Caenorhabditis elegans: one gene and its partner. The protein of the gene in region 2 purifies or fractionates together with the protein of the main gene of each other region. This does not show direct contact. Each region holds a gene or a part of one and is shown on either strand. Other genes may lie near its edges. The genes, in order: C35D10.6 and K11H12.1.

Evidence for each region.
Region 1: the proteins of K11H12.1 (region 2) and C35D10.6 fractionate together in Caenorhabditis elegans (co-fractionation; one large-scale study listed by BioGRID). This does not show direct contact.

What each region holds. Positions count from the first base shown.
Region 1 is NC_003281.10:4,857,534-4,861,579, forward strand, and holds C35D10.6 (NADP-dependent oxidoreductase domain-containing protein), read left to right. Parts: upstream 1-1,805; 5' UTR 1,806-1,810; coding exon 1,811-1,870; intron 1,871-1,918; coding exon 1,919-2,064; intron 2,065-2,402; coding exon 2,403-2,781; intron 2,782-2,823; coding exon 2,824-3,021; intron 3,022-3,072; coding exon 3,073-3,153; 3' UTR 3,154-3,239; downstream 3,240-4,046. Other genes in the region: C35D10.7 (ULP_PROTEASE domain-containing protein), read left to right, coding at 133-830, 1,006-1,158, 1,214-1,364, 1,558-1,604; C35D10.10 (Thioredoxin-related transmembrane protein 2 homolog), read right to left, coding at 3,310-3,469, 3,518-3,824, 3,870-4,044.
Region 2 is NC_003282.8:651,507-655,525, forward strand, and holds K11H12.1 (Putative bolA-like protein K11H12.1), read right to left. Parts: upstream 1,916-4,019; 5' UTR 1,897-1,915; coding exon 1,831-1,896; intron 1,785-1,830; coding exon 1,668-1,784; intron 885-1,667; coding exon 741-884; 3' UTR 624-740; downstream 1-623. Other genes in the region: K11H12.9 (Protein kinase domain-containing protein), read left to right, coding at 14-175, 225-286; rpl-15 (Large ribosomal subunit protein eL15), read right to left, coding at 2,032-2,337, 2,560-2,696, 2,894-3,065; K11H12.8 (Growth hormone-inducible transmembrane protein), read left to right, coding at 3,891-4,019.

The DNA of each region.
Region 1 (4,046 bases), on a different chromosome or scaffold from region 2:
TCATTGTAGGGAGACACTTTTATTTTGATGATAGGAACTTTTCACAGCACATGTGCCTTCCATGTAGCTTTAAAAAATATGTTTCCACTGATATATAATCTTCCGCACTTTTTTATCTAAAAATAATTTCAGAAAAGGTTGAAAGAAAGGCGAAGCTCGTAGCAATACCACCAATGAAAGCTAGAAACAGGAGGTCTTCACGCAATAGCTTGGTGTACATAGATGGTCCTTCTACTTCTGAAAGTCATTCTTCAATGGTTCAACAAGTTCCCATCATCGACAACATTCCCGAAGTGCTCGAAAATGAGACAGCTGTCTGTTCCATTTCTAGTGAAGCAGATCATAATTCGAGAGGAATCAAAGATAATCAAGAATTTGCAATTGAAATCAGTGGGGAAGTGTCTCGAACCGACGACATTTGTGATGACTTTGCCGTGTTCCTCAAAAAATGCACAGTACTATTGACGAAATTTATTGACTCCTACTATGATTTCCGTTCAACTATGAAACTTAAGCCAGAAGATGCCATTGAGCACTGGAGTGCTGAACGTTTGACCAAAGAGGAACACGCCGCGAGGGTCACAAGATTTGATGTGGCGATCGCTAGAGCGACACGTGTGCAGTATAACATCGATATCAAGCTTCTAACAAAGCAAAGTTTTGTGTTTGACGATGATCGTGAAGCTGCCATTAATAAGAGGCTCGCCCGAATCGAGCGTTTTGTGAACGAACAACATGAAGAAATCAATTGGTTTTGTTTTTCAAATTTTTCACTCATGGATATTGGAGAAACGAAGGATAGATATTGTCTCGGCGATTTTTATGACAAGGTATTACAACTTTTAAAATGTAAAATGGCCACGAAATACTGAATTTGATAACGAGACTGTTTCAAAAATTAATTTTTTTTTTTTTGAAGTCTTGTTGTAAAATTCGGTTTTTAGGGTCATTTTAACTATTGAAACAACACAAAAGTTTGATATATAATGTGTATTTTTTTCGCAGGCTATCAGTATGATTCCAAAAGTGAAAGATGTCCCGAGTGTGGTGCAACTGGCGAAAGAGTGTAAGATGTGGTCCGCATTTGAACGAATTCTCAAGCAATACAATTTTGAGCCGCTGAAAGTTTTTGAAGAATTGCAAAAAATGCTTGAAAAGGTACATTTCAGTTGTTCTGTTCGAATTTAAATGTTTACATAAAATTAATTTTCAGGATTATTTTCTACCGAAAGGTAAGATCTTCTGCCAATTCTTGCTCAATGTCGCCCAACTGTTTTCCTATGATGTCGTTAAGAATGAATGGTCTTGCATCAAACAAATCGACGGGACGTTGTTTTCGGGAGTCCCATTTGATCGCGATGGAAGTGAGTTGGCTGAAAATTATTGAAAAAAAATTAGAAAATTACATTTTTCATCTGAAAAATTGGAAAGTTAGTCTGAAATTCTGAAATATCACAAAAGAAATGCGAAAACGATAAATTTAAAAAAAATTAAAAATCCAAATTAAAAAAAAAACCGAAAACTTCAGATAATCATAATAATCTATGTATTTTTCAGATCTACTCCCCACTTCTCAAAATTCGCCGACCGAATGCTCTTCTTGATTGTGTCATTTTTCTCATTTTTCCATGTAACACATCTAATCATTTCATTTTCATCTTACCATTTTCATATTTTAAACTTGCTGCACAATACATTTTTCCTTTTAAAAATCGTTTTTTTTTTCAGTCTTTTTTGGTTTGAAGCCAACAGTTATTTATTTACTTTTAAACAATTATTTCAAGTGTAATTGTTTTGCTTTTCAGGATCAATGGAGCATCGTGAATATGTTAAGAACAACATGCCATTGATCGGAATTGGCACGTGGCAGGTATTGACTTCGAATAAATCAATTTTTTGACTAAAAAATAAATTTAAGGTTCAAAAAGAAGAAATTCTTCGTCAAGTGATTGATGCAGGTTTCAAAGAAGGATATCGATTCATTGATACGGCACAAGTCTATAACAATGAAGCTAAAATTGGTAGAATCTTGGAAAAATTGCTTCCAGCAAATGGGTTGAAGAGGTAGGTTTTAAAAAATTTATAATTGTTTCTAAATCTTTTTTTAATCCTGCGAGAAAAAACTGGTTTTGGTGTTTCTTTGATTTGAAACCCATTTTCTCTAATTTTCAGCAAATTGTTTCGCTAAAAATGTTTAAATTGAAAAATGAAAAAAAATTCGACAAATTATATTCTAAACCAATAATCAAAGCAAACATTTAAAAAAATTTAAACTAGGTTATTCATTCAATATTATGTAATTCAAATATAGTTCAGCCACTTTTAATCTACAAAATTGAGAAATAATTTTTAAAAATTCAATAAAACCACAGAGCCACCAATTGAAGCTATCTTTTTTTCAGAGAAGACATCTGGATCACGTCAAAGTTAGCCCCATCTAATGCTGGCGTTAAGAAAGCTCGGGAAAGCATTGAGGAGTCACTGAGCAATCTTAAAGTCGAATATTTGGATCTTTTGCTCATTCACTGGCCTGGAAGTTCCCTGAAAAGCGAAAATCCGGCAAACAAGAAACTGAGAGTGGAAAGTTGGAACGTTATGTGTGAAATGATGGCTGAAGGAAAATTGCGTTCAGTTGGGGTCTCTAATTTTGAGATTTGTCATTTGGAAGAATTGAAAAAAGATTCTAATGTTGTCCCAGCAGTCAATCAAGTTGAGTATCATCCTCATTTCCATCAGGACGATCTGGTCAAATACTGTAACGAAAATAACATTCATTTCCAGGTGGGATTTTTCTAAATCTCGCTCTCTTGAAGTTTTTTTCAGGCGTACAGTAGCCTTGGCAGCCCAACATATCGTAAACAATTATCCGAAGAACCTCTGATCAAAGAACTTGCTCAAAAGTACAATGTCGAGATTCCTGTGCTCCTTCTTGGATTTGCTTATTGCCAGGGAATTAGCGTACTTCCGAGAACTACAAATCCAGAGCATGTTGCTACCAATTTTAAAGTTACTAAGCTGGCGGTCTGTTTCTAGATGGTTTTTAGTCCTAATGTCTAAAATTGGGATTTACAGATTACTCAAGAAGACATCGATCGTTTATTGGCTTTGACTGTCGAACACAAAACTTGCTGGGATCCTCGCGTAGTGGTTTGATTTCCAAAATCATTTATCATTATAAATTTAAAGCTACAAATAATCCTCTATATTCTAAATAGATGTATAAATTTTAAATGCCGAGTTATTATTTCTTGTTGTTGAAAGATCTCGTGATTGAGTCGTATATGGAAATTTTGAGCTGTCATCGAATATTTAATCTTCTTTCTTCGCTTTCGCGCCTTTTTTCTCCTTCTGCTCATTGTACAAATTGAGAAGATCGAATGCAAGAACACAGTTCTCTTCACTGAACACAAATGGAACAGCACGACGACTATCGTTGACTAGTGGACGACGAGCGATTTCCTTTGCGTCCCTAGAAATTACAGATTGGTTGAAAATTAAAATAAAGCTTAAATCTTACTTGAATACACAAATAGTTGGTAACTGTCGTGACATTGGATGAGCATTCACACGGAACCGCTCGCCTTCTTTTGCCCATCTTCCAATATCCAATTTCCCAAACTTCATGTTTGGAAGTGTGAACTTTTGACTCAATTCCGCAAAAACGGGTGAAGTATGTCTGCATTCTGGGCTCCATGTTGTGAAGAATTGAATAACCCAGATGGTATTTCGATTTCTGGTAAGTTCTTCGAAAAGCTGTTCACCTTGGAAATATGTCACTTGCTCTGGACCGTTGTACACGGGTTCAGGGAAAAGAACAGTAACGACTGAAAATTTTAATAATTATTAAGGAGATCGAGAGAAAAACTCACTTAAGCAGGCTAAAATATAGATGATTCCAGGCAGAATATCGGCACGAATGAAAAGGAACATGCCGGCGATCTTTGAGAATAAAAATATATTGTTGACGTAGTGCATCCAATTCGTCGCTTTTCGTCCTTTCCATGCCAGAATTATCAGAAGAAACATGAGAATCTCACGCTCGCGCT
Region 2 (4,019 bases):
CAATTGTTTCCAGATTTCAACGCCCGATCTCTACTGTTCCAACTTCTTGAAGGACGTCAATCGGCTCGAGATTTGCTCCGTCATCCGTATTTCAAATCATTCCGCGCTCCACAGCACCAAACTGTCGAGCGAAAGCATACTGTAGTTGGGCAGAAAACTTCTGATGAAGTTTTAGGTAATAATAATTTTGAAATTTTTATCGATTTTCAATAAAAGTTTTTCAGACAAACTTCGAGAAGAACTTCAACGATTCAATCCATTCAACATGTCAGAGATTATGCTCTGAACATTTTTTTTTGTTATTTTTTTTCTATTATAACACGGGTTCTGGTCTTCCTCATTGAATTTTCCGTGTTTCATTGACAATCGCCGCCAAGGCGTGGGAAAGTCGTGTACTCCACACGGACAAATACATTTAGTTTTACAACTAAAATCGAGCCGCGGCGCGCCGTAAATCTACCCCAGATATGGCCGAGCCAAAATGGCCTAGTTCGGTAAACTCTTCCATTTCAATTTATGAGGGAAGCCAGAAATCCGTGTTATAAGAGATATATTCCCCCCACTAGTTCGAGTTTCATTCCCCCATCCATGCGGTTTCTTGTCTGTGGTTCCCGATTGAGAACGATAACTTTGAAGATTTATTTCTCATTAAAAAAAAATAAATAAATACTTGTTTCTTTTTTATTCTTCTATATATTTTTCATACTTTGACATGAAAAAAAAATTCAAAAATGATCATGTTATTTTCCAAATCCACCACGGCACGTCGGACTGTCTTCTTGCTTCTGTCCGTCCCACTTGCTGGTTGGAATAGCGTCGATTCGAAGCGCGTGGACAGTCGTGGCAAGCTCCTTGGCAAGACACGTGTTCACAAGACGATGTCTCTGAAAATCAACATTTTTTTGGGTTAATACGGGCTTCCAAATTTTGTGAAAACCATAGAAATTCGTTTCAAAAATTGTGCCCGTAAATCGACACAAGAGCTACAGTGGGGTCATTTAAACAATTACTGTAGTTTTCGCTACGAGATATTTTGCACGTCAACAGAATTTTTTGTTCTTATAATAACCATAATTTGGGTCTCGTTAGGTATTGGGGCCGCAAACACGAAACTTCCAAATTTTTGAACTATTTTCGCCAATTTTAGCGAAAATTTGCGATTTTTGCTCCAAAAATGCGGTATCATCCGGCGGCCTCGAAACTAAATTTTCTGTTACATTGGAAAAAGAGTGCGTCTTTAAAAAAATACAGTAACTTCAAAATTTTATTTCTACCGAGTTTTTATCGATTTTTCATAGTTTTTCTCGCGAATTTATGTGTTTTTATTGTTATGGGTTTTTTTAAATAAATAAATAATTTTTATCGAAAAATTATGAAAAGTCGATGAAAATTGCGCAGAAACGAGTCCTTGAAATTACAGTACTCTTTAAAGGCGCACACCCGTTTGTATTTAACAAAACTTGTCGTGTCGAGACCAGATATCATACTTTTAGCCACGAAATCGACAAATCCATGTTTTTAAGAAGGAATAAATTGGCGATAATGTTGAAAAAGCAAATGTTTTAGCTGAAAAATTGGTAAAGCCTATGAAAAAGTGCCGTTCCACGGCCTTTAGCGAGTTTTTCCATGTGTTCGACTAATCCATGTATCGATCTTTTTCCACCAACCTCGATGACACGTTTCCCCTCGAACTCATCACTGACAACTTGCACTCGGAAGTGCTTCTCGGCTCCTTTTGGAACGTTGTGCAGGTGGCTCTCGCATTCCACTTCGAGATGTTTTGGCTAGAATTCAACAGTTTCCTTCCGACATATTTAGAGATCAGTTTACCTGGAACGCGGCGAACAGCTTCTCCTTGAGAAGACGTGCTACTGGGCCTTCGCTCAATGTGCTCATTACTCTTTTCATGAAGACTGTGATTTTAAAAACTATTTCTTTTTTAATGTGAAAAATACAAAGATAAAACAATTAGGTTTGATAACAACCATTTCATTTTCGGAACAAGCCCAAAACAAAATAAAATAACAAGATTTATCGCTTGCGGTGGAAAACTTTGGTGTTCTTTCTCTTCCAGTTCTTGGCTTGGGATCCTCCGCGGGTAGCAGAGAAACGCCATCCCTTTCCGAGTCCACGAGACTTGCGTCCAGCAGAGGTGAGTCCTCTTTGCTCACGGTGCTTGTGAACTGGCTTGGTGATCCATTGGGTGTCTGGGTTACGACGGATAGCCTTGTGGAATGGATCGATCAGGACAACCTCGTAGAACTTGTAGGTGGAGTCCTCAGCAACCCAGTAGGAGTTGAGAACACGGAGGGATCCAAGACGACGTCCAGCGCGGCCCTGAAATACAACGAATTAACTTTGAAAAGTAAATGCTAATATCTGAAAATTTTGTTTAAATTGTCACAATGTCATGAATCCAATACACCACAAGGTGTTCGGGGATTACACAATGTTTTTCTATAGCCATCAGTGGATTAAGTCAGTACTATTAAAAACAGTCTGCTTTGCCCAGACACTGAGGCAACAATTTCATCTAATCATTTAATTCGTAGTAATCACCTCAGCAACGGCTTGCTTAGACTTGGCGTTCTTGAGCTCGTTAACTCCATGGGTCTTTGGCTTTCCGTAGGTTTGTCCCTTGCAGACTGGACGCTTTCTGTTTCCTCTGCGGACACGGACGCGGTAGACAACGAATCCTGAAAAATGAAATTTAATCTCAATAAATTGTATCAATGATATGAAACTGGAAAGTTCTATATAACTCAACAGGGATTACTCAATGAATTTTATATAGCCATCAATGGATTAGGTTGCTCAAGCGGGTGCAGGGCACCTTGCCCAGACATTGTGGCAAGTAGCTTTTAAAATTTTATTCAAATCTTTACAATCTTACCTTGCTTGGCACGGTATCCGAGACGGCGAGCCTTCTCTGGTCTGGTTGGGCGTGGGACACGGTGGACGGCGCTCAACTGTCTGTAGTGCCAGGTACGAATACGGAGCAAGTAGCGAAGAGCATCTGACTGCTTCTTGCGCCAGATTTCCTGCATATACTTGTATGCACCCATGTTTTCTGAAAGAAAAAAGGTTAGAATAACGAGATTGAGGGGTTGAATAAATAAAATTGTTGAAAAAGAAAAGTGAATCGAAGAATGGAACATAGTTTTTTAAAATTCTGGCTGACAGAAAATCTATTTCATCAAAGTCCCAACATTTTGGGCGGAATTCTGCGTAAAAATAACAAACTACTGATTTTTTGCCAGTAAAAATTAAAATTTTAAATTAATTTAACAAAATTCATGAAAAACCTAGGAAAACTTCACTAAAATTGCTGAAAAATCCAAAAAAATCGTTTAGGCCAACAAAACTCGTGTGTGAAATGAGAAGACGCTCTCATACACTTCGCATACACTCGAAACACGCTCCACAATGCAAACACCGTAGTCCGGCGGCTGGCCGTGTGCCAAGCCTCGTCCGCCGTAAATCGACACGAATTGTTTGTGATTTTTAATATGTTTTTCCTTGTTTTACAGGTTTTTTCAGGTTTTTATCTGGTTTTTTCGTATTTTTAATTGATAAAACATTATATTTAATCGAAAAATATCTATAAAATCAGTAATATTCGGTTTCTATCGAATAAAAAAGTCATTTTTCTCCCTAAAATGTGGTTTTTATTTGTAGAACTTTGGAAATCCGGCATAAAGCTATAATAAATGGTTTATCCCTTATTTTAGGCTACGTTATTTTCGCTAGACATTCTAAAACATCTAGAACTTTCTAAATTTCATAACTCCTCGTTGCATCATTTTTTCCCACGTGACCTCGGTTGTTTTCATCACAAACAAACACAATTTCCACTTTTCTCGTCGTATTCTCATCATTTCAGTCAGAAAATGTTGTCTCGTCTCACGATGACCGTTCCAAAAGTGGCGACTTTCACCTCGGGAGTCCGATTTTTCGCCAACACCGCCGCAAAATCAGCTCGTTATGGAGGAGGGCAGTCCGGATTCGGTTCTCGAGTA